Lepisosteus oculatus: one gene and its partner. The protein of the gene in region 1 interacts with the protein of each later gene in a pairwise test. Links are inferred from orthologs where the notes say so. Each region holds a gene or a part of one and is shown on either strand. Other genes may lie near its edges.

Region 1 (17,262 bases):
TCCTATGTTAAATGTCCTAGAAGAACAGGATATTGTAGGACCTAGCTGATACTTGTATATGTACAGTATATACTGTAAATAAGGGCGCTGAATATTAAAAGCTGGTTAAAACGTAAATTAGTTGCAACAGCGGGATTTGATGCAGATTTCTAAAAGCACCCTGAAGAATAAAATCATCCCTTAATCATTTTACTTTATTTTTTAAAATTCATTAGATTAAAAAAAAACAAATGAAAACTGAACCTCGGGATACTTTCTTTTCTGTTCTGTACTACTGTACAATTCCCATAATCAGGACACAGAATGAAAACATTTGGGGTGATTATTTCAAAATCCAAACATTTGTCTGTTAACACTAACTTTCACATCCCACTGTTCATTTCTACTACAAAGGCAAACAGGGGCATCGCTCTACAGCCTTTGGAACAATTCAACAGAAATTCCCATTTTTATGACTAATTTGACTAAGTTCACAGTGTGGTATAGGAAATCCACTCCAGCCTCAATCGAAACTTAGCAAGACCCTTCACAGGCACTTTTTTACCAAACCAACGTGTGGGCTGATTTGTTTTGGGGATGTAAATTCTTACAATATACCAAGGATAAATAAAAGCAAAGAAAATGTAAAAAACACATGTAAAAGGTTATTCACAGCCAACACACAATTACAATAAAAGAAAAAGAAGAAACCGTTTGTTAAACAGCATTGATTATCAGGTTTGATTACATTCAGGCGATTTCTTTCACGCCTACACAGAAAGATAGTGCTCGCTTGGCATTTAGTTGGAATAAAGCTGAAAAGCACCATCAGTATGAAAAACTTCATAGACTTGACATTTCTAAAGCAAGGTTACACGCACCTACACACTCCTTAAAGAGAGCATACAACTGAAGGAAAGTGGAAATGACCCTGTCACCTGCTTCCCATTATGAGCTGATGCACCAACTGAGCCAGAGTACACTTTAGTGCTGTTCCAGGTTAGACTCAGCTCAGGGAAATAATATTTCCTTGGGAAGATGTTGAGGTTTTCAAAGGAGCAATTGAAATTTCTCTGACCAGCAGCTTTTTTTAGACAAAAAATTGACTAGTGACTACAAACAATCTGCTTCTTCTGCAAAACAGCCTTTTATTTTTTTTTAAAGAAGGTTTTTCAGTCAGCAATGCAGGCTTTAAAAAGGTGAAGGTTGTGGGACCCCAAATCCAAGTGAGATGTTTTATCCCTAAGCTAGGTGCTTGCTCACTCAAGATGATTTGAGTGAGTACAATGTTCAGCCAGAAAAGTGAATACAAATGCAGGTTGAAATGCGTGAAATAATCATCCTAATTAATATGTTTTTGGAAGCAGAACCCCAATGTGCCCAATTGAGAGCATGTTTACCCTGCTGTTGACAAGAGAAAAGATGGTTCCAATCTTGCCTGCCCACCAGCTGTCTTGTGTCTTGTCAATTTACTTTTTGTAGAGAGCTTATTAGCTGTGCAACTAAAGATAGAACCAGCTAACCAGTAATTACCATTGCAGACGCAGACTTCTTTTTGTTATGTCCCCTGAAAAGATAAAAAAATCATCTGCTAAGACTTCTCTTTTAAGTATGAAGGCATTGTTCTTTTTTGCCTTTTTATTTTATTTATCCAACAACCTTTACTTTACTGCTAGTATTGCCGATTGCAGCTCACAAATTAGGACTTTTAATGGGGTCTTCACATTTTATTTTCCTAGAAAAAAAAATAAGAGTAAGAGAGACTGGCCCTGGGCTCAGTTCCGGTCCTGAAGTGTGACGTCTGATTGTTTCCCCCATGTCTGCATGGGTTTCCACTGTGTGCTCCAATTTCTTCCCACTGTCCAAAGTTTCTTCCCCCTGTAGGTTAGTGAAAACTGGCCCTGTTGTGTGTGGGTTTGTGTCTGTCTGTGTTCGGTGATGGACTGGCACCCCATCCAGTCTGCACCCTTCCTTGTACCTGCTGATAGTTTCCTCCCAAGACCCTGAACTGGACAAAGCAGAGCCATTACAAAATGGATGGACGACAAGTAAGGTATATACAGTACATCCTTGATAACTGGAACCGAGACACAAGCTACCTTAGGTCCTGGTGTTCGTCAACTTGGAGTTAAAAAGGCAAATATATCATAAAAAAACCACAAAAAGGGAAATGAACCGTTTATTCACGTATCTATCTGCTACAAAGCTATTTCCCTGAATTATGAACTTGAGCTTTTTCAAAGCCTGTGTTTCCAGGTTATCCAATCGATATTGATTTTTCATGAATAATATAGTGTGTTGCAATGTATCTGCAGTGTTGTGTTTTTTAAATAAAAATGCAATTCTCATACTTCTACATTATAGGTATATTTAGTGTATGTACAATATTTTTATATTCTTAGACATTAATTATTAGGATTCTATTAAAAATAAGACAATGAAGAGACCAATCTGTTACATTCACAACATAGTATATATAAATGGTTCAATTTGAACTGTATAGCAAAACTAAAAAAATGGACATTAAGGATTATGAATTTCTGTTTGTGCTTGGCAACCTTCCTTCATGTCCTGCTCTTATAGTATAATGTGATTTTATATAATATTATTTATATTTTATATTTTATAATATAATATATTTTATAATTATTTTTAATTTATAGGCTAGGACACCATGTAAACATGCTGTCTGGCATTTTTTCCCTTTCAAATTTCAAGGCTAACTATAAACATCTATTTATGAACACACACTGTATACACACATAGTTCTGGAGATGAGACTAAAGTCTCAGTAAAAGTATAAAATGTGTTTTACTTACAAGTATGACATTGTTGAATTAAGGTGTAAATATGAGAAATAGAAGCTCTGAATGCTGACAAATTAAAGGAAAAAAAAACATCTAAATACCTTGCTTTGGAGTATTAGAATATAATAACTTTGACGTCATTCCCTTCAGCATAAACTCACAAAGACTGCAGTTCTGGAATCTGTGCTTCCAAAGGTCACAGAGATACAGGTTGCATAGGGCTGTTTCACCTTGTTGAACTACAGAGAACCCTGTTGAGAAGACCCCCTGACTCTGTTTGAGTTCGTTACCTCTGGCTGCAATACCTCTGCAACACTAATCAGGCCCAGCAGGTGAAATGAGGATTTGACTGTGCAATAAGGCCTGAAGGTACTCCCCTGTTCTCAATCTAATTGTGCGCAGAAGTTAAAACTGGACAAGTCTGGCGAAGGGAGGAGAAACTACAAGGAAGTTAAATTTGCTTCTCCAAGAACAGAATGGAATTTTGTCTTATTCCACACTACATCCACACCATAAAATATTCAGAGGATATTCCTTAGTGTGTCGGCCAGATTAAGGGGTAATTTACTGGCAATACATTACAACCATCATGTTCACTTACAGTGTCCAATGTTCCTGCTTTTCAGCCAGCAATCTGGTACAGTATTTAGATGATTCCAACTTTCTATTAGAAATAACTTGAGTCTGCATTCCATATACAAAATTGTAGAAGTGCTATATTATTGCTCTATTTCTTAAATGATTTCTTTGATGTCAGTGTAGATAAATGAGTACTCCATCAACTTTAAAAATCCCTTCCTCATCCATCTTGGAGTTTTGGTCCAATATTAGGTGAATTACACTGATTTTCTAACTGCTGCATGAGTGCAACTTTTACCAGGATCCTTCCAACTAAAAGGTCTTAAAAGCTTAGGTTCAGGAGCGGTATACATGCTGTATGAGTCTTTTCATTCCATGCTACCACAGCATATATATACATGATATATATATCGCGAGCAACCAACACAATGGTGTGTTTCATTTCTTACAGAAAATGTTATTTTGTGGAGACAACTAGCAGAGCCACTTCACTGTCTTTCACTGGCAGAAGGAGAAATTATATTGCTCTTCAAATAGCTATACGCTAAAGCAGATGAATAGAAAAGTAAACAAAGTAAAATTACACCTTGACAGTAAAACAGGCTCCTGGTGTTTTAAAATAAAATACATACTATATAGAGTATATCTTTTAATTGGCCACCAGCAAAAGATTAAACCTTGGACTCCACTAGGTACAATGTAAAGATGAATATATAAAGATGTCCCTGAGTAATTATGGAAGGCTAGCTGTTTTATTCTGCTGGCAACCCGCAGGTACAGCTGTGAGTGTTGACAGAGGTCAAAATGCAGAAAGGTGTACTATATAAAAACTCTTGACTAAATCTTCATTTAACCCTCGTCTCACAAAAGAAAGAAAATTAGTATCATACAACCGACAGCCTTTGTCCCCCTGCCAAATAATTACCACATTTACAAAGAGATTTCCAATAGTAACCTGGGCAACAAATAGAGGAGTTTGAGTTTTCATAGAGGCACCTATATTTTGAATCTTCAAGGACTGCATTTTGGTCCATCAGTTCTTTCCTCATAATCAGCATTAACAATCAGTCCCAGCATGCTGTGTATGCATTGAATCTGTTCCATTAATAGCAATTTTCAAACCGCAGTGTATAATCTGACTTTCGCATTTGTTGTATTTGGAAGGATATCTTCCTGTTAATGTCTTATATACATCCTATTTGTTGATAGATCACTGTAATATTTCTTTTGTTTGCAAATGTTATTGTTTTGTTTGTGGATTCTTGCCACTTTCAAATTTTTAAAAAAATTTACAGGTAAAATTACTGCTGGAAACAAATGTCCTCTTGTGCTCATAAAATTGCAGCATATTCAGCAGAGCTTTGTTCTGTACTCCGACAGCATTGTATTTATTGAAAAGATAAAAAAACGGTTACATTTTTCTAAGATTATAATTATACCCCATTTTTTCTGTTACAAAATTTTGAGTTATTTTTTTTTATTTGCATTAACACTGAAAAGAGAAAACAACAAGAAAATAAATTGCACAGACTGAAATTGCCAACCAAATAAATTACATGTGTACAGCTCTTCATGTACCTTTATAAGTAGCAAGCCTCTTTAGGACGAAACATCAAACTAGACAGGTTTCACCAAAAGGAAAAATAAGATCACAGTGACATCTTGTGGAACATTTGCAAAAGCAGTCTCCGTATTTTGGATATTTGCTCAGTATTTCGATTTACACTTTTCATACTAGCCTACTAAATCTCATTATTCATAGCCAAAAGTAAAAGTATAAATTCTATTTAGTTATACTTCCTAATTCTGATAAATTATTTAATAGCCAAAATTATTATAGCACTTAAATTATTAAACAGGTTCTGATTTTATTGATGCTTATCAAACCATTTCCCCTGGCAAAAAAGATGATTTGCCTGCAAGATGTCAAGAAAAAGTGAAAAGTCCTACTTTCCTTATCTGATATTCATGATATATCTTCCATTAATTTCTGCCATCTCCCTATTCTTCTTTCATCCTGCCATGAGAATACCTTGGACTCGTCCTGTTATCAATTGGATTCTCATTCTAGGACTTTCATTCTTATGTGTTCCTTAATATAACAAGCTTGTATAAAAACTTCCAATAGTTTATTAACGTAGTAGATCCCTCTACCCAGCAGAGGGAGCTATTTGGTGAAAACATTTCTTACAGCACCTGTTATTATGGAGTCTAGGAGGGGACATCAAATTCAGGTGGCCCCAGGGTATGATCTGATGCAACCGACTTCATATTTGGTGGGAAAGGAGGCTGAGGCTCTGTATGTCACAGCTACACCTATTTCCTATTCAGAGGCTAAAATGTATTGCTTCGGAGACCTGGAGAGGACACAAATCAAAAAATAATATATCTCATGACCACCAAAATAGAAGCCAAAGAGGTGACTTCTTGCAACAAAGACCAAGCTGTATACCAAAAAGAGGTGAAAGAAGATATGTTGTCTGTTCATTTCTTTCTCCATAGTAAATGATTCTCCATTGGATGGCAATAAATATAGCCACTGGATTCAAATACTCAACTGCCTTAAGTCATTGAACCTGACTCTAATAATGGGAATTTTGTCTTTTTTTTTAGTTTTTCGTGACTCAGAGCAGGGGTCTCTAGCCATTGGCCTGGAAATCACCAATTCAGTTAGAGTAATAGGCCTCTCTTGGGAATACTTGTAAGCTTTTGATGAATTATGTATAGAATGCAGGTTTTCGTGCACACTGCTTTGATGTCATATTGCCATTTTCATTAATTAAACAATTCATTAATATCATTTCATTAACAAACTACAAGGATGCTAATGAGTTAATAAGGTATCAAGAACTCCCATGGTAATACATTTTATTCTTTCAGAGCTATAGATATAATCAATAACAAGGGGCACGGTACTCTTCACTTCGACATTCCTGCCTCCTTTTCAACCAAAGGAGATTTTATTTCAAGACCCTTGTTTAATTGTGGTCCCCCCCACTCAAGTAAAACATTGCTTTTTTTAACATAATATTTTTTTTCTTTTTGTTCAACAATAAGGAAGGCAATTAAGATTTTGCATTTTAGCCTGATAGCAATTCTGAATTCACTTCCTCTTAACAGTAAAACTAAGTAAAAAGCACAATGTAAAAATTTCCAGTAAACACCCTGCTGTTGGATTGAAGCAGAGCAACTTTTATAATGAGCTGTTTTGTACAAACATGTTCATACATGAGTTGTGAGCTCTATAAGAAACAGACATTTGTTGAATACTGTGGATCAGTCTTTAGCAGACCTTCTGGTATTGTGAAATGCAACTAACCAGTATTTGGTATTGTATAATGCCATGCTAACATATGAAACCTGCATACATCTTAAATAAGACAAACATCTAAAATAATCGAAACATGCTTAAAATATTTAGCTTGTAATACAATTGATATACATACAATAATGCTTATTTTAATAACCTAATCATCTAGGCATTTCCCCAATAGGTCCTGTAGTTTCAGACTAACTCCACATTTGATATTCCAGTTTTTTGGGGTACAGGTTCCTAAAAATGTGACATCAAATTACAGTTTCTTGAAGTGGCCATTGCACAGTGGCCTCTTGCACTGAATAAATTGATTAACTTCATGAATGGTATATGCTCTGTCATACCTAGTCTCTAGTAATAGCCAGACAGTCCCCCAATCCCACTCATGTATATATTCACTTCCCCCAGGTAACCAGGATCTCATAACTTCACTATCACTATCCAAGACGAGCTCATGAGGCCCAAAACCAAATGCAGCATCACATCTTCCAGGGCTCTCATTCTGTGTTCAGGCTGTGGCTGGTCAGACCCTATATACAGTATTTTCAAGACTATGACCTGTGTTAATATGTGGACTAATGAGCAAAGCAGTCAAGCTGGTGACAGGCCTGAAACACCCCCAGATAACCGACACAGACTTCAACACAAAGAAGAGAAATGATCGCACAGTGCTCCTTGCTGCACTGAATTAGCACTTAATGTGTGTCCGGACTGTGAGTAACTCTTTTAGTGCACCCCTCACTGTACTGATTGTATTGCATGTATTGTACTATTACTATTATTATTGTATCATGCTTTACACTGTGGCTGTGTTGTCTGTGTTAAGATGCTGTTGCACTGCAATTTCCCTCACGGGATCAATAAAGTATCTATCTATCTAAAGTAGGTGCTTTCGAATCTGACGACAAGACCAGCACAGATGTAGGCTGAAATTGGAGAGAAACAAACTGAGAATGCAACTCTCTGATATTTCTTTCTGGATGCACAGTTTAAGCAGATAAACGGGTCACATTAGAGTGTTATTGCAAAAGCTTGCACCCACAGAGCATTATCACGTTTGTTTCGCTTCTTGAAAGAAGAATTGACAAAGACCACAGTTATTGAGGGGAGCAGAGTCCTGGGGATCTTCACACTGCTAGCGTTAACCACAGAAGAAGAAACAAGATGACATGGAGAAAATGTCACAGTGTTGTAGTGACATCATGCATCCATAAAGAAATCAATCAAATGACCATGGGAGTTATAGGAATCTATTCATGTTGTGGGCAGTGTTGAAATTCAACGCTTGAAAAAACTAAAAGAGTCTTCAGTTAGATGTACATGTCGGTCTTATTCATCTTAACATCTAAACTTAAAAATACCAGCACTGTATGAATGATTTAGTTACATAAATCTAATTATTTGGAACCATCAAATATGCATTGTGATACGCCCACTCAGTTTTTAAGGCTCAGATTCCCAGTGGTAACTCCCGTATCTATACATAATGAGGAGAGGGGAATGATGGAGAAGGACCTGCAGACATGTGCCTTCAGCATTTGCCATGCTGGAAACTCTGCGGTGCTTTAAAGGAGAAGTATTGCCACAAGGAGGAGCAGCTCCATTCTCACTGATGTCGCTGCAGGCCTGCAGTGCCTGCTGAGTCACAAGAGCCTCTGGCCCCTTAATGCCCACTGTACCCATGCGGCAATATGCCAATTGGGCACCACCACCAACGGCAGTAAAACGTTATGCTTAATAAAATGGAGAAAAGTTTACGTTTTTCCACTAATTCAGGACCTTGTCAGCCTCAGAAAATTTGATTAAAACACATAAAAGGTCTTGCAAATAAACCAATACTAAATGAGCTTGAATGACTCATCCACTTGTTTACCACCAGTAATAATATTACCACCAATAATAATAGAGATTTTATTCTCTATTATTATTGTTGTTGATGATGTTATCACAGACATTTCCCCTTTTATTAAGTTGGCTATTTTTCTAGTGCTATCTGATTGATGCCCCAGATTTGGGCTCAAGAAGCTCAAATCCATAGCCACCACCTCATAAAGGTGCAGTCACAGTAGGCACTTTTTGCCTCAAACAATAAATACTGTACATACATACACACGCAATGTATCATTACAATTCAGTGTGGAATGATTTTTCTGCCGGAAAATAAAACTTAATCTTTAAATGAAATCTCATTCTTGGCAAACACACTGTCGCCTCCAGCAGCAGAACATCTGAATGAAATCTTGAGTACCTTTGACAGAATCCACCTCTGTTTTAACAGCTTTTAACAGTTTTAACAGAACTGCTAGTTCAGGCCCTGGAAGTATTCCCCTAAGACTACTGTAGTTGGCCAGTCTCCCTGTTATAATCATGCCCTATAACAAACAGGTGAAAGGGTGCGATAGATAGATAGTTCAGGTGGGAAGCTGCGTCAGCATGCGTACGCTGCAAAGGAACAAGTAATAGGTTTATTCCATGCTGAAAGAAAGAAGAGAGAAAACACAACGTTTCGGCCGTGGAGCCTTCTTCAGGTGTGCCTCCTTCAGCTCCTTTGCCTATCCATCCATTTTCTAACAACTTCATCCAATTCAAGGTCGCAAGGGAGCCTTAGCCTTCCTTGGCAAACATTGGGAACGGCAGGGTCCATCTTGGATAGGACACCAATCCATCGCAGGCCAGACACAGCCACTCCCTCACTCACACCAGGAACAAATTTCCCAAAAGCCAGTTAACCTACGCAAACACGGGAAAGTCCAGGTCCGGAATTGCACCCACAGCCCCAGCACTGCGAGAGCCATGATAATCCCTGTGCCACTGTGCCACCACTACCTTTGTCTAGTCCAGACTAAAACTAACCTGTACTGAACTTGTGACCAATCACCTGTGACATGTAACAATATCATATGCTATTTGTATCCATCACTGCTGTGACTTGTTTAAAGTCTAACAGGACCTACAGTACCTTTTCTAAATCTATACTGTCTACCTCTAAAACCCTGTTACCATACTGATGATGCCCTAGTTTAATTCTAATTCTTGTTTCTATAACCTTACATGTAATAGAAGTCAGAAGACCTATTGGTCTTTTTTCATCCTTTTTAAGAATAGATTAAATTTCAGGAAATTCCAATTATCTAGTTCATGGCTATTACCCCTGTCCTAAAAAAGACAACTGGAAGAGTTTAATTAATAGTCCATGATTAACATCTCTTCATTTTCTTTAATTAAATTGGTAGAATATCATCAGGCCCTAGAGATTCGTTAACCTTAATTTCTTCAGATTCCTATAATACATCGGTCTCAGTGCTAATACTATTTTATTAAGAACTTGGTCTTTACTCAGCCTAGAGCGCATTGTCGGTTTCTTTTTTGGTAGACACCTGAGTGAAATATTTATTTAACACTACATTCATTCATTTATTATAAAATTAGCAATAATAATAATGCTCATTTCATTTTAATATGAAAACTGTGACGTGCTGAAGTGTTAGTGTATTTGGCGTTTTTGTGCGCTCAACTCGGAAAAGAAAACGTGTACCTGTAAATCGTCGGCAGTTTTAATTTCTGACAGATTTGTAGAAATTTGCTTAAAACTGATTTTTCCCTCTTTCTATTGCAAGGGTGGTCGTGTCAGCAATATGACTGAAACATATCTTGTTTCAAACAGGAGGAGACCAAAAAGCTACAGACAAGGCCCTTGTCTACATGCTGTACTGTAGAGCTTGAAGTTTCACAATACCTACCCACTCTTTCACAAAAGAAAAAAAAGAGAAGGCTTCTACCTTTGCTGTTCACAAAGCGGCCTTAATAATTATCTAGCTTACTTCCTTGTGACTTTGGACAGGCTGTGCTTACAGTATTTCAAACCAGGAAGGAGACTGAATTGTTTAGCTTACCTTCCTGGCAACCCCATGATGTCACATCAGCCAGGTATGCTATAAAGGCAGAGAGGCGAAACGGAATAGACTTTATACTGTACTTCGTAACTGGAATGCAAAAAACACCTACAAGCGAAAAGAAGTAACAAAAATGGAGTTCTGCCATTCTAAACAGGCGGCGGTATGTGTTTTTGGTTTTATTACTTGATTTATGCATGCCTCAATTAAAAAAAAACATACATAATTAATTCAGGAGCTAAAATAAAAATGTTCGGTTTGACAGTCAAAGGAAAAGATCCGGGTGTTAAAATAAAGGAGGGTGTCGCCCGTCCGTCTTCGCATTAGGTATTTCAGAAACCAGTAATATACTACAAAAGCAAAACTAGCTCGATCGGATTTTGTTAAACGTGCTTTTGTTGAACAGTACGTGCGCCCTAAGTAGTACTTTATGGTGACGTTAGGTTAGTGTTCTTATCCTTCCAGTTGTACTTTAATTTCCGTTTGTGCGGCTTCTTCCATTCTATAAAGGTTTGTAGTACTCATTTCAATTCAATGACAATTTCTGATTTAAACAAGTATCGGTTAGCTGGACAATTGAGGCTGTGTTTTTATGCCGGCCTGTTTTACCCGAAGTTAAATATTTTAGATGGGTGTTCTGTCTAGTTTGGATTACACAAAACGCCTTATAAAACACCATTCGGCTAATAATGTTTAGTTATTATTATTTCTTAAATTTAAGACAGCAGTTCTGTTGCATTTGAAATAATGCTAAAGTATCTGTTATACCCACAGAACGTTAAAAATAGTCCAAACAAGTGTTATTGGTGTTTTTATTTATATATTCGTGTCACAGATTTTCTAGAAACGCTTTTCTCAGGTGGTGTATGATTAAGTGCATACTCCATTCATGTGGAACTTTGTTTAAGTTGTGAAAGGTGTGTGAAGACAAAGGTATTTTTCCTAGTGAATAATTTCTTATTCTCCTACTCTCGGCGGCACATCTTTGTTTCACAAGTGTAAACCCCCCCTTCAAATTACGTGTAGTGGTTTTTTGAGAAACAACACAGATAAGGCCCAGTAATTAAAATAGATGTTTAATGTATGAAACGTGTAGCTGTATTAACTGGTTATCTGTGTTAAATAGATATTCATCAGATTGTCACAGTCAGGTCTTGCACTGTGATTTAGAGAAAGTCTACTTGAATTGCAGTTCTGCTTTAAGCAGTCAGCACTCTGTCATAATGGGAAATAGTTTAAAGTGTTCCTTTTAAATATTTAAAATTTAAGGGAGCAGCACGTATGCAACGTGATATGCTTCTGCTCCTCAGATTGTGGTTAAGTGGTAATGTAAATGTTTTGACACTGTGGGTTTAAGATGTGTCCAGTACCATCTTACACTGTGGAGCAAAATCCGAGACACATTCTAAAATGTTTTGTTTTTGCCTCTTTTAGAAGAAGGTGTTATTATTTCCCTGCCCCCAGGTATGAAGTCAACAGTGAGGCCAAATATTCACAGACTTAAAAAAAAATATCAGCATCACATAGCAATGCAACTGTGCTGGCATATTGTTACTATTTTACATAACTTTCTTCAACCTTTTTTTATAGGAACTAGGTGTTACCCAAGTGATCATCATGAGGAGGAAACCATGAAGCTGGATGGTTCTCAACGTAAGATAAGCCCTTTAGTGGATTTCCCCCAGATGGTCTGGGAACTCAGAAGAAACACAACTGACCTCTGCTGAGACTTGCCTTTCCTTGCGAAACTCAGGTGTTCATGGACCATATGTAAATGAAGATCATATGCTGTCCTTAAACAGCTTCCCGTCTGCAACTAGACATTCCAAAGGCTCCCACGCCATCACCAGGATGGACAGAGGCGTCCACTATCCCTCCAGGGAGGAGAAGCAGGGCAGTCCAGATGTGGCACACCTGGAAGCCAGCGAGTTTCAGATGCAGGTGGACTTCTTCCGCAAGCTGGGCTACTCGGTTGATGAGGTGGTGGCGGTTCTCCACAAGCTAGGCGTCAACGCCGACACCAATACGGTGCTGGGTGAGCTGGTCAGGTGTGGGGCCACAGCTTCAGAAAGGGAAGGGGTCACTGGATCCCCCACTGGCCCCGTCTTAGTTTCTCGAGGGGGCAGCTCAGCCAGAACCCCCTCCAGCCTATCAGCCTCCCCACCGCCACCCCCCGAAGAGGACGAGGAGGAGGGTGGTCACTTGAAACCGATCGTGATCGACGGAAGCAATGTTGCCATGAGGTGTGTAGGTACCCATTAGTCCTCTTCAAATCTTGTTCTTTTTACAGAATTTAATTACACTTTATTTCACAGTGTGGGTGTTTGATTCTTGCCGCGTACAGTGTGGTGACATACCACAGCAATAATAGTGTGAGAAAACATTTGACTTCACAGTGGAATGTGGGAAATTCCTCTCTTCCATCATCATGTGCAACAGTTTGTCGATGACATTTTTAGTGAATGCACATTCATCAGGTTCACATTGTAGGCTGTCTGATCACTTTATTCACTTCTACATTACTAGGCACTTATTTGGTTGACACTTTGGGCCAACGCAGCTTAGATTTGTACCATACGTTACTGTTAAACATGCTGTTATAAGAAAGGCAAACAATAATGGCTTTCTTTACAGTTTTACTTCAGAAGAATATAAAACTGTTGTGTTTGTGCTAGGTAATCAAAGTGATGGGCACCCGGTGCGTTATTGAGAGTCCCTGTTATTTTAGGAATCCTTTGGCAAGCAATTAGAGTGGACAGGGGTAATTGTAAGGTTTTAACAGCCCACAACATTTGAAATGATTTTAAGCTGTCAGGACACAATATTCAGGATTCCCCTTTTAATATAAAAGTGTTTCCTACTGTTTTGGTAGACACACCTCAACAACTTACAGGCACCTGTCTAGAGCAATTAATGCCCTTCTGTAGGTTATTTTATTTTTCATCTGTCACTCAGAGTGCCAGGGTATAAAATCAAACCATCAATCTTTCTAATTAATTTGCCATATACTGTATGTCTTTACTCTGTTGTATCTTTATCTCTACGGTCTGCTTTTGAGATGTAAGGTTTTACTCAAGGCAATACCCCCAAAAACGATAGTCAAAGGATCAATGATTGAGTTTGTTCTGTCGTAAAGATTCATGAGGTTATCTTCAGTAATAATTGTAAGGAAGTAGCCAAGGGCCGGTCTAAAGGTGAAACAGAACATTACAAAGAGCACAGGAAATTTGCTTTCCTTCCTTCATCTTTCCACCTAAAGATTGTTTTTGAATAATTTTCTTGGTAAGCTGTATGTCTGTACTAAATTCAGTGTATGCAAATCTCAATGCAAATCAAAGCACGACTTCCTCCTTTGGGAATTTTCAGAATGGACAGTAATGGCTGAACAGGCTTGGCAGTATTGCCCTATTGCGAAGTCTATAGGCGCTCAAGGAATGAAGCTTGCTGACATTTCTGAGAAGTAGATATTTTTCTGAACATCACTGGTGTATCGGTAATTTGAATTACAGTATATTTTGTTTTTAAAGACTAGCGTGCGTTTATACAAACATGGTATTCAGAATTATACTCTGGTCACTGAGTTAGTGGCATATTTATATGGTCATATGACACAACCTCATAAGATGTGCATCTGTGACAAATGTACAAAAGTTCAAAGATTTATTTTGTCATTATAAAAATACATTTGAAAGAGTGGACCATGTTCTGTTAACCAAAGCTTTTGGTGACAAACCAGTTTTTTAGCTTTGCAAAACTGAAAATTCTAGTTTGGTCAGCAGTCAAAGAGAAAATTTTATACCCCAGCATTCCGTAGTTTAGTCAAAACGTTTCAGCTACTGTATCTGTCGGATATCATGTTTGTAAGGGTGGCAATCTGGAAGAACACACTGTGAAATGAAGTGTTGCCCATTACAGAGAAAATAATATTGCAAAAGAGGATGTTTCAGTGCCTTTAGATTTTTATTAATAGTAAAAAGGTAAGATAAGGCATGTACTGTATATAGTCGGAATATAATAGGTAAAATATAATACTGTAATGGATTTTGTATTATTTTTCAGTATGAAAGATATTGTGTACATAACCTTTCATGTGAGTTATATTTCTTTAATTTGTAACTTATAAATCTAAATTAATATTACAGCTTCTTTTTTGCGCTTGACTAAATGTCCATACTCTGAATTAATGATACTAATGAATTCTTTACATACCATTCAACCATTCATTGATTTCTGCATTCACACAATAGAACCAATGATAGGAATTAAACAAGTTCAGATTTTCATTTAATTGTGATTTAAAAACTAAAACTTTCTTTTTAGACTTTACTTTTAGACCTTACTGTTTTTAAAAATAATAAAAAAGCAATGAAAAGGTGTACAACTAATTCTTGCAATGTTAATTCTTTTTTAAAAATTGCAGTTAACCCTGCAGTATGATACGGGAATACCTTAGGAGTGTTCTCTTCTTTCTGCTTTCTGGTTAACTTTGAATTTGTGATCCATTAGAAACTTTTACTAATTCACAATCTACAAGTTTTGTATTTTTAAATTTATTTGACAGATTAATTCAGGAATAGTTTGGTGTTTTTTTGGTGGTATTCTTGTGTTGTTTGTGTTATATTTGGTTTTAATTCAATATAGGAAATTATGATGGTTTTTAGAATTTCATGTTGTGATTAAAAACAAAGAAGCCTTACCTGATGTATAGCATCAAAAAAGCAGAATATGCTAAAGTTGTTTCCTTGTCTGCTAAAACTATACCTTTTCAACTCTTTATTGATGTATCTGAGTATACATGAAAGTGGTGTTTTAGGATGATTATGTTTTTGTTTTTATAACAGAGCCTAAAATTTAAATTCTTAACTTTTTCTTATACTGCTGTTTTTGTTTTTATTAGAATTGACAGTTGTTTTTGTACATTGTATACCCGTACCATTTAGAAATTGTCAGTTGTACTGGTATGGTGGACCTTCAAGGAAAAAGCAGAAACCTGATCAAGTAGTATTGGTGGAGTAGAGGTTTCTTCCAATTCTTCTGTACCAATGCCCTAGTTTAGTGAGCAGGGACACTGTGCTGTTGAAAGTGCTGCTTTTTTGATGAGACCTTAACATGAACACGGCTCAGCCTCACAGCTACTGGATTCTAAAGTTCGATAATCACATGGAGTGAGCACCTTTCCTGTCACACTGGGCCTTGGGCAAAGTCATCCCTACCGTAATTAATACAGTTCTGGCTTTAGACATTATTTTTTAAAATATCTGTTTTAAGGCTTAATTTCTCACTAGTCTGTTTCAAAACTAGTAATCATAGGTGTTTTGTTTTTTAGCCATGGAAATAAGGAGGTGTTTTCCTGCCGGGGGATTCAGCTTGCAGTGAACTATTTTCTGGAGCGGGGCCACAGCGACATTACAGTATTTGTGCCTTCGTGGAGAAAAGAACAGCCCAGGCCTGATGTACCCATAACAGGTAAAGAATGGAAATGTATATGGAAAATATGTTTGGTGACTAATTCCTATTTTACATACACTAAATTGATGCATTTGAAAGTGTTGTTCCTAATAGTACCAATTTGCATTCATACTTGAAATTCCTGATCCACTCCACGTTCTATCTACATGCACATGAAAGATTAACACAAATAAGGCTTCTGGTTTTTACCATTTTCTTCATACCATGTTCTTTTCATGCCTAATTACACAATGACCATTAACCGAGACAGAGTTTAGATATTTTCACATGCTAACTGCGTGAGTTGTTAAATTAGGAAAAACAGAAAAGCTGTTTTTTTCTGATCAAAACGCACAGAAAAGATGCTACAAAACCAATCGAAAACTGTGCAGTGCTTGTAATGGTGCCTGATGTAAAGTGAATTATGTATAACTTCTGGATTATACAGGTTACTACACCTGTTAATCTAGGTTATCAAGTGAATCACAAATTATCTACTCCCGTTACAAGATGGTCCTGTTAATGTGACTCACTGCTGTTGTCAGAAGTCTAAATGTGTACACTCAATCACCAGAGGCATTAAGTGATTTTATTTCTAAAAGGCAGCTGTATTTTTTCTGAAATGACCAGTACATCTAAAAACTGTATTCTTTGCATTTTCTAATGCCGAATCAGGATAATATGTTGCACAACAGAGGAATGAAGGCCTGGATAATTATTGCTTTTCTGATGTAGCTTCACATGTACAATCGGCTTGTTGGTAGTATGCATAGAAAGACATGACAGAATGGCAGAAATAGAAATTAAGCTGTTTAAAACGTCTTTTGAAGCCCTGTTATAGTTGTGCAGACTAGTCCATGAGTTTTACTTTTTGAAGTCAATCATTTTTTTCCTCCTGCATTTATTCTTATAAATTAATCCTGTTTATTAACTTGACTCATTCTGATCACTTAAACAAATTACACTGAAACCCCTCTTCCTCTCCACTGTAAAGATATATATTGTTAAAATGAAAAGCCATTAAAAAAAAAGGAGCCTGATTTTCCATGTGGCAAACTGCAGACAAAGTGCCCATCTAATCTTGATTTATTATAAAATAAGCACGTTGCCTTTAGGGAAGATCAGGCCCAACACATATGCAATAAAACAGTAAAACCTGACTCGCACAGTTCCTGATACATCCTGAAACATATCTTCACACAGAAGGCTGACATATGCATAACTGCTTCAGAATACTGTG
Region 2 (16,498 bases), on another chromosome or scaffold:
TTTGTTCATATCCAGTACCACTCTTAAAAACTCCCCACTGAACCTTGCTCTCATGTCTCTTGAGCGCTACATAGCCATCTGCTTCCCTCTGAGACACAGTGAAATAGCGACTCCTAAACGGACTTGCATTGCCATAGGGATAATTTGGATTCTTGGCTCTATAAACCCCATAATAGACGTATTGGTTCTGCTAAAAACTGAGCCCACACTTTTCCTAATTCCTATGTTTTGCACACGTGAAAAGCTGTTCATGTCTAAATGGCAGGCAGACATGTATCAAGGATTCAACACTTTCTATTTTGTAGCAGTGGGAGTCATTCTCCTTTACACGTATGTGGCAATAATGTTGGAGGCCAGGTCAGTCTCCTCTGACAGAGCTTCAGCAACAAAGGCCAGGAATACAGTGCTGCTGCACGCAGTTCAGCTGGGTCTGTGCCTCACTTCCTCCTTGTATGGTGTGATAGAGGCCTTGTTAGCAAGGATGACTGTGTCCGTCTACATTCACCTGCGGTACCTCAACTTTGTGGTTCTTCTCATCCTTCCCAGATGTTTAAGTCCACTTATATACGGTCTGAGAGACGAGAGCTTTCGTCCACTTTTTAAATATTATTTTATGTGTGGTTCTAAGAAAGTAAAACCTGTTTTGGTTAAATTTTAAAATAAAATTCCAAATGTTAGGCCTTTAGTTTAATTTTAATTTAAATGGAACAAAAAGTTAACAATAATAATCCAAAACATTTGGATTTATCTTGAACTTAGTCTAACTGAGTTTCACATTTTCTGATTGGTGTGTTCTGCCTTTAACTAGAAAAAGGTTAGTGCAGGTTAAGTTTCTCATCATTATATTGGTAGAAAATGCAGAACTAAATTGCTAGAAATAATGCAATTAAAACAGTTTTTACTCAGTTTGTAAAAAATGTTCAGGTGAAGAAAAAACACATTTTAAAAACTGAAATAATATTTGCTGTTATTTTTGTTTCAAATTAATACCTGGTGGTTTTTACAAACATGTATTAATTATACATGCAACCTGAGAAAACAGACATCCATCCATTTTCTAATGAAGCAAGAGCCTTTTATGGCAAGCAACGGGCACAAGGCAGGATACCCCCCTGGAAAGAAAGTTTAAGTTTTTACCAAGAAAGCTGTAAAGAACATGAAGTTTTGAAAAACGTTCTTACTTTTTTTATTTGTTTTTAATACAAATGTACTGTTGCCAAAACTGTTCTTAAATTTCTAAATGTAGAAAATTCAAATAGAAACTTAAAATTTCACGGATGCTGAAGGTGAGATCATCATGCTTCCTGGATCTTACAACTTATACTGTATATATATTTATAACCTTCAGATAAGCCTTCCTTTAAACAATGGCTAGATAAGACCATTAGATCTACTGTGTGTCAACTATCTACTAGCAACCAACAATCCAGATGGGTCTAACAGCCTCCTTTCATTTCTAACCTTTCCTCTGTTCTTCTAGTCAAAACAATGCTAAACCAACACCAAATTTGTAGTATTATTAAATATATACCATTGCTTGTAAAAAGCCAAATTATTTAAGCACAAAAATCAAATAAAAATTTAAATGTTTTAAATTCAGCATTCATTATGGTCTCTCTATAAAAAAAAAAAAAGGTTAAAGCATTTTAATAGGGTTGTTTAACCCAATAACAGTGAATAATAATAGTAAAGCAAAAAACTAAAGTTAGTGGTAAAAACAAAACAACATTTTTTCCATCAACAGTGTGCTTGTTCATGTTACTGTTGTTAACAAGTATTACTTTAATACTAATACGTGTGCTGATCTGAGTTGCTCATGGGGCACCGTGATGTTATACCAATTCAAACTGAATACATAATTCTGAGACAGCTGTGAACCATTCTTAGAGTACAAATCCTTTCCTTGGTCTTTTTACCCACAGTTCCAAAAGAGATCTATTCCTTATCTCCCATAACTAACATCTCTTTGCTGTTGTTTCCATCAGTACTAATTATCAAAATGATGGATTGTGACTATAGCATGAAATTAATTTACCCCATGAGGAAAAACAACATCATACAGACTAAAGAATATGTTTCCTAAGAGGATGCATTTCCTGCAGGTCTTTTAGGGCACTATCATATAAAAGTTGAACAAACTTGAAACTCAGTTATTATATTCTTCACTGGGCACACGAAGGTAAGATGGCTGGCGATAACGAACAAAAAGCTGAAGATTTAGCACTGGTGTAAATTTAGTAATTACCATTAAAGTACCAAAAAATAGTAAAACCATTTTAAATTGCTAAAATGCAGCAAGATGCATGTAATCAATCTACTCACAACGGGAAACTTAAGAAAAGACTTGTTTAATTCTAAAAATGTATTATTTCCTTTATTCACAATAGTTTCCATTATTCACAATTGCATCTACACCAATTCAATAATCCATCTTGAAAAAGATAATTAAAGTCTACTTAAAGCAAAGCTTACCTAAACTACTAATATAAATCATCTTAGAGACTCTTAAGGGACACCAACATATGTATTTTATTGTACACTATAATCATTTCTTATTCTTTGTTTTATTCAGATTCAATGTTTCATTCAATACAATTCATAAGACTAAATTGAACAGACTTTCTTTCAAATGAGAAAATTATTTTAGTTGTTTTAGTCAAGCTTGTGAGATTTGGAAAAAAAACAAATGGAACAAAGGGCATGGTGCAAAGCTTCTATGCAATTGAATTTGGTATCCTGGAAGTATCAGTAAATATGAATCATATTTAAAGGCACCAAGCAAGTGATAATTGTTAGGAAATTAATGAATATTTATATCTGAAAATGATTCAATCTTAGGAAATACAATAAATCAACAAGAAACATAAATATCATTCCTAATTCTGTGCATATTTATAAAGGCCTTCTCTATAGCATACAAGAGACTGTCTTCTAACAATTCAAATAGAGGCGAGAGTGGGACTGTGAAACGTCAATTCTTTACAAAAATAATGTTTTCAATTTCTGTCATCTGGATAATGACTATAATGCTTATTTTGTAGGTTCTCTGGGCCACATAAAACACAAGAAAGTCAGGGTTGGCCCTGTGTGTTACATGTGTGCCTAAGCCATGCAGAATTCAACTGCTCTCCCAAGCAATGTGACCTCTCCTGCCAGCAGTCTGTCAGTTGTGATAAAGATCTGTGTGGTCACCCCCCTTTTCTGCACCTTTTTGTACTTCATAATTCTGATGCTCTTCACGTTCGCCTCGCACAGACAGTTCTGGGAGAATTCCCGCTACGTGTTGTTTGCCTACATGCTGATCAACGACACCGCCCAGCTCCTGTTCTCCGTGCTGCTCTTTCTCTTCGTCATGACCAACGTGCGCTTCGCTGTCGTGTTCTGCACACCCCTGCTGTTCATCTCCACCGCCACTTTCCAGAACACGCCTCTCATCCTGGCCACCATGTCTCTGGAGCGCTATGTGGCCATCTGTTACCCCCTGCGGCACCCGGAGATCTGCCGAGTGGACAGGACCTGGATCGTGATGGGAGCTGTTTGGCTGATCAGCTGCATCCTTCCTGCCGTCGATTTTGCTCTAGCTGGGTCTTATTCGGACATAGACGTGTACTCGACCCCTGTACTCTGCAAGTCACAGGTCCTTAACTCTTCCCCCACTCAAACGCTGTTCAAAGTCACTATGAACGTCTTGTTCTTTGCTCTAGTCGCTGTCGTCATCCTGTACACCTACATCCGCATCTTGCTGAAGGCCAGGAAAATGCACTCCGACAGAGCCTCTGTGAAGAAAGCCCTGCACACTGTGATACTGCATGGAATCCAGCTGCTCCTCTGCATGATGTCCTTCACGCATCCCATCACTGAGAGCCTGATAGTGCTTCACGTGGGCTGGCTGAAGGAACACATCTCCTTCTTCAACTACTTCTGTTTCATTCTTCTGCCCCGCTTCCTCAGCCCACTGATATATGGCGTCCGAGACGAGAAACTCCGAACTCGCATGAAGAGAGCCATGCTGTGCTGTTCCAATAAAAATGTCCCATAATCCCTCAGGTAACCGCTTAGTAATACGAGACAAGATTTTCTGTCAAAGATCACCAGGGAAACCAAGTGTTTCTAAAGAAAATGAGGTACGTCAAGATATTTATATGTTATCATCTGATTTGTTTGTTATTCCACTAATGGAAAGCCAGATTTTTCTGATGCCATGATGTTGTGGTAAATCAATAAATAAAAAATACATAAGGAAAGCTTGTACATCTTATTTTTTTATGCCAACACAAGGTATGAACAGGAATTAATGCTTGGTTGATTGCAATAATGTTTTTTTTGTTGTTGTTGCTGCATAGCCTCTATGCTAGCGAGGAACGTAGAGGAAGAGTTTTATATTCAAAAGCTGAGGGTGGAAAAATTATTTGGAGATTTTAAAATATCAATTTGGGCAGGTAAAACTAAATTTTCTTTCTTAACAGCAAGTGTGGGTTTTTTTCATTGCTAACAGATTCTATAATATCACATCTAGAATTAAAAAAATGAAAAGAAAACATGTCCTTTGTCTTTAATTTTTGCTTTTGTTGCTAAACTCAGGTTTTGGCGCTCTTTAGGCTCGACAGCTTTCAATGAAAGCCTTCGCCTTATGCTTCAATTTAAATTTTTCCAACCAGTGCTTCATGATTTTGGTGCAGAAAAGTGTAATTTTTCACCCTTGTCATTTATATAGCAATACTGCCCCCTAGGCTTACCTTTAGGTCAACTGCCTAACCAGCTTCCCAGAAAATATTGCAAAATTCCAGCCGAGAGAACTCACTTTCAAAGGAGCAAAATGCCGCAAATATGCCTTGAATGCATGATAGTACATTAATGAATACTTAATTTATATGTCATGAGAATGACAGCTAGCTTTTCAATTATACTCTTGAGCCTTTTCTGTATTCCAGTCTTCAACAAATGAATAAAATTCCCTTTGAATCTGAGTAGATAAAAAACTAATCCAACCCATAACACCTGTCCCTAATTGTGCTTTTTGTGCCTGTGGGTAATACTATTAAAATGGTGTTTTATCTACTATATCTACTATAATATACTGTAAACATATTTAATTGAAATAAGTCCTTTTTGCAAATTGACTTAATTTTACCTGAAAGGAATCTCATCTAATTATTATTATTGCAATCATTTATTTTTGTTTCATTAGTCTGTTCCTGTCTTTCAAAAATGAATATATATTCTAGGGTTAGAGTTTATATATACAGTACATGCTCCCAGGCTGCTAGTAATCTATGTCGAAATCAAAAGCTTGCTCTTAAGTTGTAATTGTCCCCCTCCAGTGCATTTCTCATGAATAAATAAATCCAAAAGTATCTATAGCTGACATTTTAACATTTTTACTAGAAAACCTGAGAGGAATGCTTTTTGCTCTTTTTAGATTTTGCACACAATTTCACGTGAAGAAACATGTAGAAACATATTCCTTGCAGAGGATCCACATTGTAGGCTTTACTTTCAAAGATGATTCATTTGGCTTAAGGGGTTACAGAAACACATGTTAAAGATGTTGTAATCATTCAAGAAAGAAAAAGGATGATGGCTCAGGGAATCGAACACTACTCTAATGAAGAGTTGCATAACAACAGCTCTTGGTTACAAAATATACATGAAGGCTCTGCAATTAGTGAAAACAGTGTGAGAAAACAGCGTCTTAATTAACTCCCAATCAGACTCTGTGCAGTTTATCCCAGACCATTAAGGAAAACAATTGAATGTAGTGTTACATGAGCTAAACAATGACTCAGCATTTGAAAGCAGGTTATTTTTCTCACTGCTCGACTTAGGGGAAAGTGCCTGTGTTTGTATCTAAGCTCCACACAGAGCCTGTAATTCTATTATTATTTTTTTTAATTTGCATTATTCATCTCCCTGGGCTCATATCAAGGGAAGGGTGTTTTCAATTCGGCTAAGGAACAATTCTACTCCGTGTCTACTTAAAAATGTGAAACAACCTTGGTTTTGCTTTGGTTTTTTTAAAGGGTTTCTAGACAGACAGTGGAAGACAGGGAGAGCAGGACTGTCAGACACATCGAATTCTGCTTTGGTGGTTTAGTTTAGCCAATGGAAATGTGTGCAGAATAGGCATAACAATTTAAGTCAACACATTAATTTTGTGTCGGTATGACATTTTCAAGACTTTATTAGTATGCATTTACTGTAGCTCAGGTGTTTCAGTTTCCACTTACACAAACTGATCAAGTGTGCAAACAATTGAATATTACATTTTAAAAGTGTGATAGTGTGGGGAGGTTCTAAGATACAGATTAAGAACCTCAGATAGATAGATATACAGCATATATTTCAGATACAGATACTTTTGGATCTAATTATTCATGAGAAATGCACTTGAGGGAAATGATTACAAATGTAGAGAAGCTTTTGATTTAGATTTCGATTACTAGCAGGCTGGCGGCATATATATGTAAATTTTAATGCTGTTGTCTGATGTGTTTCAAGTCTGTCAATACAAAAAACCCAGCACAGGGAAAACAATCGTATTCTGTTTAGCAGCTCTAGTGCAGGATGACTGCGATTCTATTGGAAGAAATGTTTCAAGTAAAGTTGAAACAGCTAAGCACTTCAGAAGCATTGAATTATTGTTTTTGTGACAACCTACATTTTGTTTTCTGAGGTATAACACTCCAACATATTAGAAACTTAAACAACCACTTATGATTATGCTTTTTGTGGAGGCGGTAAACTAACAATGGAAAAACGTACCCTGTACTTTTTCCAAGAAAAGTGACAAGGGACACCTGAAGTAGGCTCCACAACCAAAACCCTGTGTCTCCTTTCTTTTCCTTTCAGCATGAAATAAAACTTTACCTGTTCCAATTCCAGCATTTTGGTTTGAGTTCCAACTTAAGGAGTCATTTTATCCATCTGCCTATTCTCCCAGTTAGATTCTGTATATATGTTTTATTTAATGGTCGACTTATGCAGCCAGTTACTCAAAACGTTCACTTCATAAAAGGTGCAGTTACCTATAAAACCCCTCGTAGTGTAGCAAGGCGTTTTACAATTAGGCAGTTAATTAAATTTAACACACACAAAAAAAGAAAACAAAAGACGCTTGACTTTCCAGGAGCCGAGTTTGAGACAATTGATTTAAAAAGCTTGATTCTCTCTGAATGTTCTCTATATGCTAATTCTACTATTTCCTCCTGGACGTTAGTACGTTTTGCTGTAAAACTCAATTAAGACCAATTCACACCGTTGAAAAAAACACTTTAAAAAATGTAAATCCTTTCACTAACCCCATCTGGAGGTGAAGGAGTTAAATGAAATGGAACGCTCTGCTTCCCAAGTGACCTTTGTATGTTGCTTTCCCCAAGATGCATTTAAACCCTCTTGTTATTATCATTTAATTTATTGTCTGTAATTGATTGTGAAAGTCTCTGCAAATCGGAATGCAATCCTCGGCAGATTACGCGTGTAACTGCTGTTTTGCTATTCGCGTTGAAACGATTAGTGATGGTGATGTTTCAGGTTTGTATTTTTACAATTACAACTCTTAAACGCGTGCTTTGTTCTACGTGTATATCCCTACCTCTATTTTACCTTTTTAATTATAGAGCAGTGGAATCCTTGATAAATTAATAATAATATAAATTAATTAAATAATCTAGTGCTCGTTATAAGGATTTTCGAGTAAGAGTGGTGTGATAGTAAAGATTGGTTTTTGATGCATCAATATGTATAATATGTATGTATGGTTTCCCAAGAGTCCTAACAATAAATACAAATGAATTTTGATTAAAACAATAAACACTATTTCGGGGGTATTTTATTGGTATATTCGGCGGAGTCCTAGAATTTAACATTTTTAAGGTGTGCTAATTGATATAGTTTTTAAAATAAAAACGTTTCAAATGGAGAAAACTAATAACAGTTTTTTGATATGAAAACTAGTGCATATACATTTATTTTAGCATTTTCGGCCCCTGTCCCAGAAAACGCCATAAACTGTAATTTAAATAAATATACATTTATTTGTTTTGTTCTGACCTCATAAATTCGTCTCCTGCAAGTGTGGGCTGATAGCAGTTAGACCTCCTGTGTTCACTTAGTACCTCATCTGCGTGGTCTCACATTTCTGCAGAGAACTGCGCTGGCCACAAGGAGTTTTGGGAGTTGCAGTTAAAACGTCTGAAAGTAATTGTTAAAGGTTTCGAGAAACGCTTTACATTGTGCTGAACTACTGGCTTTTAGCAAGGAAAATGCGATGTTTTTTTTTTATATCCGTTTTCGTCGTTTATGCTGAACGTATTTAATGCGACTCTTTTTTTAAATTAAAATGACTTATCGAATATTATTCAGACACCGTGGAATATCTGTCTTCCTGAAAAATCTCCAAATTCTGGTTTTCATCAACTTCATTGTGGTGCCGCCTTCTCTCGGTGAAATTTACACTTCTGTGGTTAATGTGCAGAAAGCCATTTCTGTAGAGAAAGAGCTCCTAAGCCATTTAAGGACCTATATTGAGGATGAAACCCTCAGGCTGAATGACATCAAAAGGTGGGTCCCTCTCTGTTTCTTGGCTAAATTCAGAATGATTTGTGTGTTAAGAGTGGCTAAGGCTATTTACCGTTTACGTTTTGCTTATCACTTTGCATTCATATTGCAGAGCTGTTAACCACAGCTGACAACAATTTACCATCAAGTTATCATATGGAAGTCACGCATTCTGGCAATATTCGGTCATATAATGTTTACTATTGAATATCACGTTTTAGATTCTAGAGGCGGGTTTTTTTGTGCGTGTGTTTCGATAAGGCACTACTAGCCTTTTCCTTTTCTCTTGTGTATTGGAAAAGCATACTAGCCCGTTAGCCCTAAACGGGTGTAATCTAAAACTTGTGCACGCCGCTTTCGTGAGATGCAGCGAGTCCGTCATGGCACGCAACTGTCATCGCATAAGGAGTAGGATATGCTCAAATGCTATGGTGTGTGTGTGCGCATCGTAGTTTTTTTTGTGGTGTTTGGACTTGGAGAGAACCCATGTTATACTGAGTAAAGGGAAACGGTTTTTGAATATGACTGAAGAGGAGAAAGCTCTCATCCCAAAAAGTACTCTTTAGCCGTGTTACCTACAGTACCTCTCATTTATTTATGTGTTCTTGTATTTGTGCTGGTTTCCCCTGTCTTGCTATTGGGATTGGGGTATCTTATTTACTAACCAATGGACATGAGGCAGAGCCAGGCTAACAGCATGTGTCACCAGCCTGTACTCTTTTCTCCTTCTCTGAAGGAGTGTGTCCTGTGGGGAGCAGCAGGGAGCTTGATCTCTGTTGTTCCCTTCACAAAGGAACATTTTACTATGGCTTCTCGCACGGCTCAGCAGCCAAAACTGAATCCTAAAAAAAAAGGGTATTCTTTTCCCTGGTCATCGCAATTCCTGCTGTGTATTCAGCCCTCCTCTCTCAGACCCATTGATTATTCAATGTATACTTTCATTAGCCAGCTCTCTGTGTGCTGGCTTCTTTTCTTTTTCGATGAATTTTACTAGTTGTGTCTGACACTTTGTCGCCCATACTTCATTATCTGTTAATTGGACTAAGGCCTAACCCAGCCAGGAATATCGCATTTCAAACGCATCATTTGAAGGCAGGATTCAGGGGCTACTTATTAAATGGGAATCAGCTGTCAGGTGCTGGGTTTTGCCTTTGTAGCTGGCGGGTTCAGTTTTTTTTCTGCTTTCCGTTTTTCCTGCCATTCTAGGTAGGCAAGGCAAACCTGCAGGTAGTTTTTAGCTAATAACCAGCTAGTATAACAAGTTAGTAGTATCTGTATACAGACACAGACCTTAATTCATTAATTAAGGTCATTCATCTTTTGGAATAAATAATTTATGCAGTATATAAAAAAAAATTGGAACTCCGTTGTTCTCAGGCTTTCATATGTGGTGCTATAGATAAAGTCCTTTACACATCAATCCTGTCTTTCCTTTCAGATTCTATGCGAAGGTGGCAGACCTGCACAGTCATGTGTATCACAGTCCAGTGGCAGCAATGGCTAATCCTCTGGTGGCATACACGTTGATTAAGCGCCTGCAGTCTGAGTGGCTCAATGTGGTTCACAGCAATGAAGCCCACGAGAACTCCCAAGGTGACAATTTCACGGCCGGTTTGCTTAACAGCTGAAGATCCCCGAGACACCATCACCCGCCTGCCCTTCCCCCTTCCAGGAAGTAGCTGAACACTTTCAGTCTCTGAGTTCTGAGGGCAAAATAGTTCAATGTTTTAGTTTTTGAGTAGCGTGCTTTCCAAATTGCCGCGGTCCTTTCACCAGTTGACGTCTAATCAAGGCACGACTGGCTTATAAAGCAATTTTTAAAATTGTTTTGGTCGCAATGCTGAATTCTGGGGCGGAGAATGACCCAGTTTCCTTGTCGTTGTTTAGCCTTCAAGTCAGGCTTTGAGAAAGAGGAGGGCCGCCTGCCCAACTTCGAAGATCTGGAAGGGGCTGCCAAGGGGCTGATGAGGCTCCAGGATGTGTACTCTCTCCGTGTGGAGGGGCTAGCGAATGGACTGTTCCAGAGGGTCACTGCAGGTCAGACAATGGACATTTACAGACCTGCTGTCATCGTCCCCCTCTCAGGAGACGACTGCTTCCAAGTTGGAAAGGTGGGAAAACGCAAACAATCAAGGTTCTTCTGAGATAACCTTGATTGAATGGGGATTCTCACTGATCTGTGCATAATTATAGCAGTTAATTAATTATTCAATAAAGCCAAATAAGAGTCAGAAATAATGGCAATCGAGGCAAGGAAAGGTTGTTTAAAGTTCTGTAAGCCGAAACTGTTGCAGACAGTTCAAATAGGGTTTTTTTGACTGTTGGGACTGAGTGAAGAAACAAGTTCAATAATAGTCTAAACAAGAAAGCAGATCAATTAAGTCGTCAATTATCAATGGGTATGTAGGGCTCAGCTTGAACAACAGCCACAGTGACAGTGTTGCTCTAGGACAAAGGTTGGAATCCACTACCCCATATGTTGTCAATAAGACAGGAGGATCAACAAAATGCCGACTTGTGGGGTATGAATAATTTTGCACATTGTTTACTTAGAACAGATTTGGTTTTGCAATACCCTGTACCTGTTGCAAGTGTACATTCAGTATAAGTAATTGTTTTGGTAAAACCAAGTTTTGCATCAAATATCATGTCCATCAAGGGTAGCAATATACAGTATATTAATTGTATGAATAAAACTTGAGCCAGCTGTAATTCTCTTTTTCTTCAGACGCCCATGATGTCAAAGTGTTTTGGCAGACAAGTGCCCTGATTTCACAGCTAAAAACTGCGTCCTGACTTCCCACTCTTAAAATTCCACAGTGTAGAGAATAATTCCAGCATTAGATTGTTCGGTCTTTAAAAGGTCATAGATAAAGAAATCCGCGCATTCCCTGAGCACTGCAACAAGTCACTGGTGACTTCTGTGTGTCATCAGCTGCCTTCGAAGGACTCTTCACATTTTTTCCTTTAAATTTGCGTCGGCTAGGAAAGAGTATTCCACTGTTTTGGATTTGTTCCTTAAAAACATAGAATGAGGATCTCCCTGTTTTTCTTTTTCTACTGGTCTCTGGCTATATGAACCAAGTCTGTACAGTAAATAGAAAAAGTACCTGCCAGGGGTTTACATTTTCAGATCCATAAGCTACTGGCAACCAAATGACAATTGTTCTGATGGTCCTTGAGCATGGAGGAATTAGTTTGGATTAGCTGTAAGTGTGCTGATGCAGGTAGCAGCTGGACATGTTGCCTGTCGGGGTGTGTTTCAGGTGGCCTACGAGATGGAGGACTTCTATCACTCCGTGCAGTGGCTGGAAGAGGCAGCTCGCCTGTTTCGCAGGGCTCAGGGTGAGTGGATTACTGAAGATGAAGGAAACCTGAAGGACACCCTGGACCACCTGGCCTACTCTCACTTCAAGGTAGCCACATTCTCCCTGTTTCTAGCTCCCTTTCTCTGTCGCTCGTTAGTTTTCTTTCTCCTGCGTTAGGGGCCTGTCGACGCAACCGCTAAACAGTAATCCAGCACTGCCTCTGCCTGACAGCTACGGCTTACAGTAAGTAAAATTGCAGATGGGCGATTTATTTTGTCTACAGCTAGGCTAGAGTTTGAAACGGTGGATGGCAAAACATGCTTACCATACAACTCCAGACAGACGCACAAATGTTCGACTTAAGGTTCACCCTGCTTGGTTTTGTATGTAGGAGATTGTACGTGCTCTGTTCTGCTGTTTTCTACATAGCTCTGCATCTGTTTAGAACTGCTTAATGCAGTTTGTAAAACCTTTCAGGAAATGGGATGGGAGAACACCTCCAGAACACCTGGAATGTTAATCAGACCATCCAGGGGGCATTTAAAAAGGTACAGTGCAGGGTAATTCAGAGCAGTGCCCACTGACGGAGATAGATAGGATTCTGTTCAGGAGAACTAGCTTTCTTTTCAACAGGCATTGAGCTCTTTTTTTTTAACGCTGTGTTTCAGACGGGAAACATATCCTACGCTTGGGTTCTCTCCCAGGAGCTCCTGCGTTATGGTATGTTTTTATCCACACTAACCGTACAGACTTACAGTATCTTAAAACAATACAGAGCACCAGCATAAGAGTCTGTGTCAAGCAGCTGCTTTTCATATTCTGCAGGATGAGATCCTATGGCATTTCCTTAATATACTGTATAAATGCTGTGCACATCGAATCATCTGTGCATTAATGTGGTTTTAGGTTTAGGTCTGCTTCAACAGAAGCGGAATATTAGGACAGGTTAATGCTTGTTGCTTGTTTCTCATGTTTGACGTTTCTAAAACATTTTATGGCTGTTCTAAAAAATATTTTACAGTCTAACATTATATTTAGAAAAAAGCTAATCGTATTGATATTCGGTTAAAAACTTTCATTTATTACAAGCTTTTCTTATGATTTTTTTTCCAGTTGTTCTGTTGGTTTTGCAGCGAGCTTGGCTCAATTCTAATGGCTTTTCTATTTAGCTCCCACATGGTGGAACATCCCATCCCTTTAAGATCACTGTTTTAGGCAACAAGCTGAAACAGTCAGGGTTACGCCATGCTCAGAGATTCTTTTGTATTTGTTTTTAAAGATCCTTCCAATAAAAGGGTTTCCCGGAACATTGAAAAATATGAAAAACTCCTTGCTGCATCTCCACCCATAGAATCCCACCATACTGTCCTGCAGAGACCAAACTCCACTTACTTGCACACAAGACATGTGTATGAAAGGCTGTGCCAGACTCTGGGGTCCCAGGTAATAACATATATCTTCTTTTGAGTCAGTGTTTGAGTGAGGAAATTGTTCATATAAAGAATTTAAAAGCACTACAGAAACAAAAGTCATCTGATCAATGCTGTTACCATTATGCTCCATTTTTTTTATTAAATGATTTTTTTTATGTTCATCTTCAGAAAAATCTGTATACTCATGTGTTTGTAGGTGGGGAGTGTTAAAGGGTTCATATGAACACCTGTGGATATAGCATGAAACGCCTTGTTACTTTTTAAGACGGAATGTATCTGTCATCATGGAGTTAAAATATAGTTGAAAGCGCCTTTGTGTTCTCTATTACAGACGCAAATCTAATTCTAAAAAAAGCTTTGCAATATTCTTGAATTCAATTTTTTCTTGTAATGTTATATTGACCTCCGTTTACAGGCCATTTTAACATTTTAAATCTTTATGCAAAAAAAAAAGAAACGTTGAAAAGGGGATTCACGCAAAGTAGAAAAGGTTATTAATTAAACTTGATTTCCTATTCAAATTAACGTGTCCGTCATGTTTTAGAAATTGAAAGCTTTAATTTCATGAAATACCGTCACATCTTTCAGTCTTTGAAATGGGAGTTGAAACTGCCGCTGAAACCAGAAAACCTAATGCTCAAGAGAACAAAAAAAACAATGGTCTTTTTTTTTTTATTCCAGCTTTGTAATAAGCTTCATATGCTGTTTCTGTTTCCAGCCAAAACATTATGAAAACCCCGGGCTGTTCTGCGATTACTTTACTAACGGCAACCCAGGTCTGATTCTCGAGCCAATGAAACGAGAGGTCGTCAGCCTGGAACCATATGTGGTTCTATACCACAGCTTCGTCAGTGATGCGGAGGCTGAAAGTGTGAAGAGCTCTGCAGAACCAGGAGTAAGTTTGTACCCTTCGCATTGGTAATGCTCCTGTTTGCTCATGCCATAAGAATGCCATGCATCTGGGATGCACTATGCTTTCTCCATCTCTGTGCATCGCTTTTAAAAATAGCACAGTTGTACCAAGTTTCTCAGGCCACACAAGCGTCCACAAAAAGGCAAATATATTCTAAAGTGTTAAAAGTCCAGCACAGGTAATGGCAGTGCTAAATATAATGCATGTTTTTCTCTCCATAGATTCAGTTTCAGAACTAGCATTAGTGAGTGTAGTTACAAGCCCACTTAAAAGCAAATATACAAAACGGCATACAGTATAGGCAACAGTAGAGCTGGTATATCCTCCTTGTAAAATTTCATTGACACACTTGAACATCAGAAGTTTATTACTCATCCGATAACACGCAAACAAAAAGTATCTTTGAGATTGGGATTCTTGTTCAGGTGATGTGCAAATGTGACCGACCGTTTGCGTTTCGCAGACATTTCGGTTTATTTGGCTTGGCAGTCCTGTTAAGCTTCTGTTTATTTTAGGAAGTTTCCAATTTTGAAAGTTTGGAATCGGGTTTGTTTAGCGGAGCTTCAGGCTGGCGGCCAGGTGTACATTTTCTTGCTGCTTTATCAAGGAAGGTTTAGATTAAACTGGCAGCCGGACAGTCATACATTCAACTATAAACCGTAGTCGATGTGGCAGTGAGTATATTAACTACTGGTCTGACTTGATGTTTTGTTTTATCTTCTGGTAGGTCACTCGGTTCAGCCTAGCTAATTTGAATAAATTTACACCTTTTTTTGTGGCTCTTATAAATTAACTCCCAGTGCTGAATTTCAGTGGCCTTTAGAACTATCCAAGGCAAAAATACAATACGAAATACAATTTTATAATTTTATGTTCAAAAACCCACATTTTGAGTTGCTTGAACTTCTTTCAGACATGAGGTTAACTCTGTAAAATAAGTTACTTTCTATAAAAATGGGAGTCGATATTTCTGATCAAGGTTGGTCTTCATATCTCTTTCAACTACAGCTGTTTGCAATGAGCAAACAGATCCCTATGTTTGGAGGTTACTCTTGCTATTCGAGACTGCTTTTTTGGCCCTGTTCATATTTGGCATTGAGAGTGACAATTGAAAGACAGAGCAACAGACATCTGATACCTTCTGTGGCTCTGAAAATGTCTGCAGCCATAATGGGGCAAGTGGGATGTGATTCATACCTCAGATCACTGTACCTCCAAGTGATATTAATGTGGTCTTTCGTATCTGGGAAATTAGTGCTGCACAGGGATTTACAACTCCTAAGCGGAATGTTTGATGTGATTGCAGGCATTCTCTAGGGCATAACCAATGAATTACCAACACTCAATTTGTTTTCAATATTATCCTCTCTGTGAAAATTACAGTCCTCTTGGTTTTCTTCACATCCGTATGGATGGTGGAAACTATTCCCTCACTTCACCCTGTGGTGGGATAGGCGAGCTGGCTCTTGTGGTTTTGTGCAGAATTTGAGGAGATTCCCTGAAAACAGTCCATCAGTATTAGCCAGCAGCTGCGGATGATTTATGTTTCTCCATTCCATCATTAATTGAAAACGTCTGTATTTCTTTAATTGGGAATTCAAAAATATGATCATATTGGACAGAGTGCATTAAATCCAGACACGGAATATGTCTCATTTGCCCAAAATTTCGGCTTGTGTCACTTATTCCATTCTTTCCTAGCTCAGGGTCTATAACCTAGACATTTGAATGCTAGTAAGCAGTAATAGAGAACAAGTATTTGAGCATATCCATTCAAACACAATGCTTATGCTTTTTGGTTGAATTTAGTGGCAGTTTACTTAAACTAAATAAGCAATTTGCCTGAGTGTCCCTCCTTCAGCCTCTAGGCTCACTACACCTTCTACCCAAATATTTAGAATAAAACTTAAGAATGCATAATATATCTGAACATGTGTGATGTTTTGAAGACTTGGTGAAATTCTGGGATGGCAATCTTTTTGCCATTCCAAAGGTTTCCATGTGGCAGACAGCCCACAGATTGACCACCCTGAGCTTAGTGCTTTGTATAATCGGCCTGCTACTCTTTGTTTGGAGAAAACAGTGACGCACACGTTGCTGGAAGTGCAGTAGTGTGAATCATAAGAACCAGCCACAAGAACTTATGGAGAACAAGACCAGTGGATTCTTGTACTATTGAAGTTCCGTCTGAGGGAGCTTAATGACACATGTACCAACATTCAGTCTCTTTCTGTATCAGTTGAGAAGATCAGTGGTGGCCTCTGGAGAGACGCAGTCTGCAGCAGAAT

What was found.
Region 2: the proteins of ribonuclease ZC3H12A (region 1) and p4ha3 interact in binary tests that used the Homo sapiens proteins (3 or more experiments, as listed by UniProt). The two-hybrid records come from large-scale screens. The link is inferred for Lepisosteus oculatus from reciprocal best matches to the Homo sapiens genes ZC3H12A and P4HA3.

Annotation. Positions count from the first base shown.
Region 1 is NC_090706.1:5,513,017-5,530,278, forward strand, and holds the start of ribonuclease ZC3H12A, read left to right. Parts: upstream 1-10,611; 5' UTR 10,612-10,737; intron 10,738-12,164; 5' UTR 12,165-12,359; coding exon 12,360-12,817; intron 12,818-15,900; coding exon 15,901-16,040; intron 16,041-17,262. UniProt on the Homo sapiens protein: Endoribonuclease involved in various biological functions such as cellular inflammatory response and immune homeostasis, glial differentiation of neuroprogenitor cells, cell death of cardiomyocytes, adipogenesis and angiogenesis.
Region 2 is NC_090700.1:9,364,009-9,380,506, forward strand, and holds the start of p4ha3 (prolyl 4-hydroxylase subunit alpha-3), read left to right. Parts: upstream 1-8,073; 5' UTR 8,074-8,338; coding exon 8,339-8,559; intron 8,560-9,994; coding exon 9,995-10,149; intron 10,150-10,443; coding exon 10,444-10,667; intron 10,668-11,822; coding exon 11,823-11,972; intron 11,973-12,532; coding exon 12,533-12,584; intron 12,585-13,143; coding exon 13,144-13,307; intron 13,308-14,015; coding exon 14,016-14,192; intron 14,193-16,449; coding exon 16,450-16,498. Other genes in the region: odorant receptor 131-2-like, read left to right, coding at 1-658; or95a1 (odorant receptor 129-1), read left to right, coding at 3,110-4,039. UniProt on the Homo sapiens protein: Catalyzes the post-translational formation of 4-hydroxyproline in -Xaa-Pro-Gly- sequences in collagens and other proteins.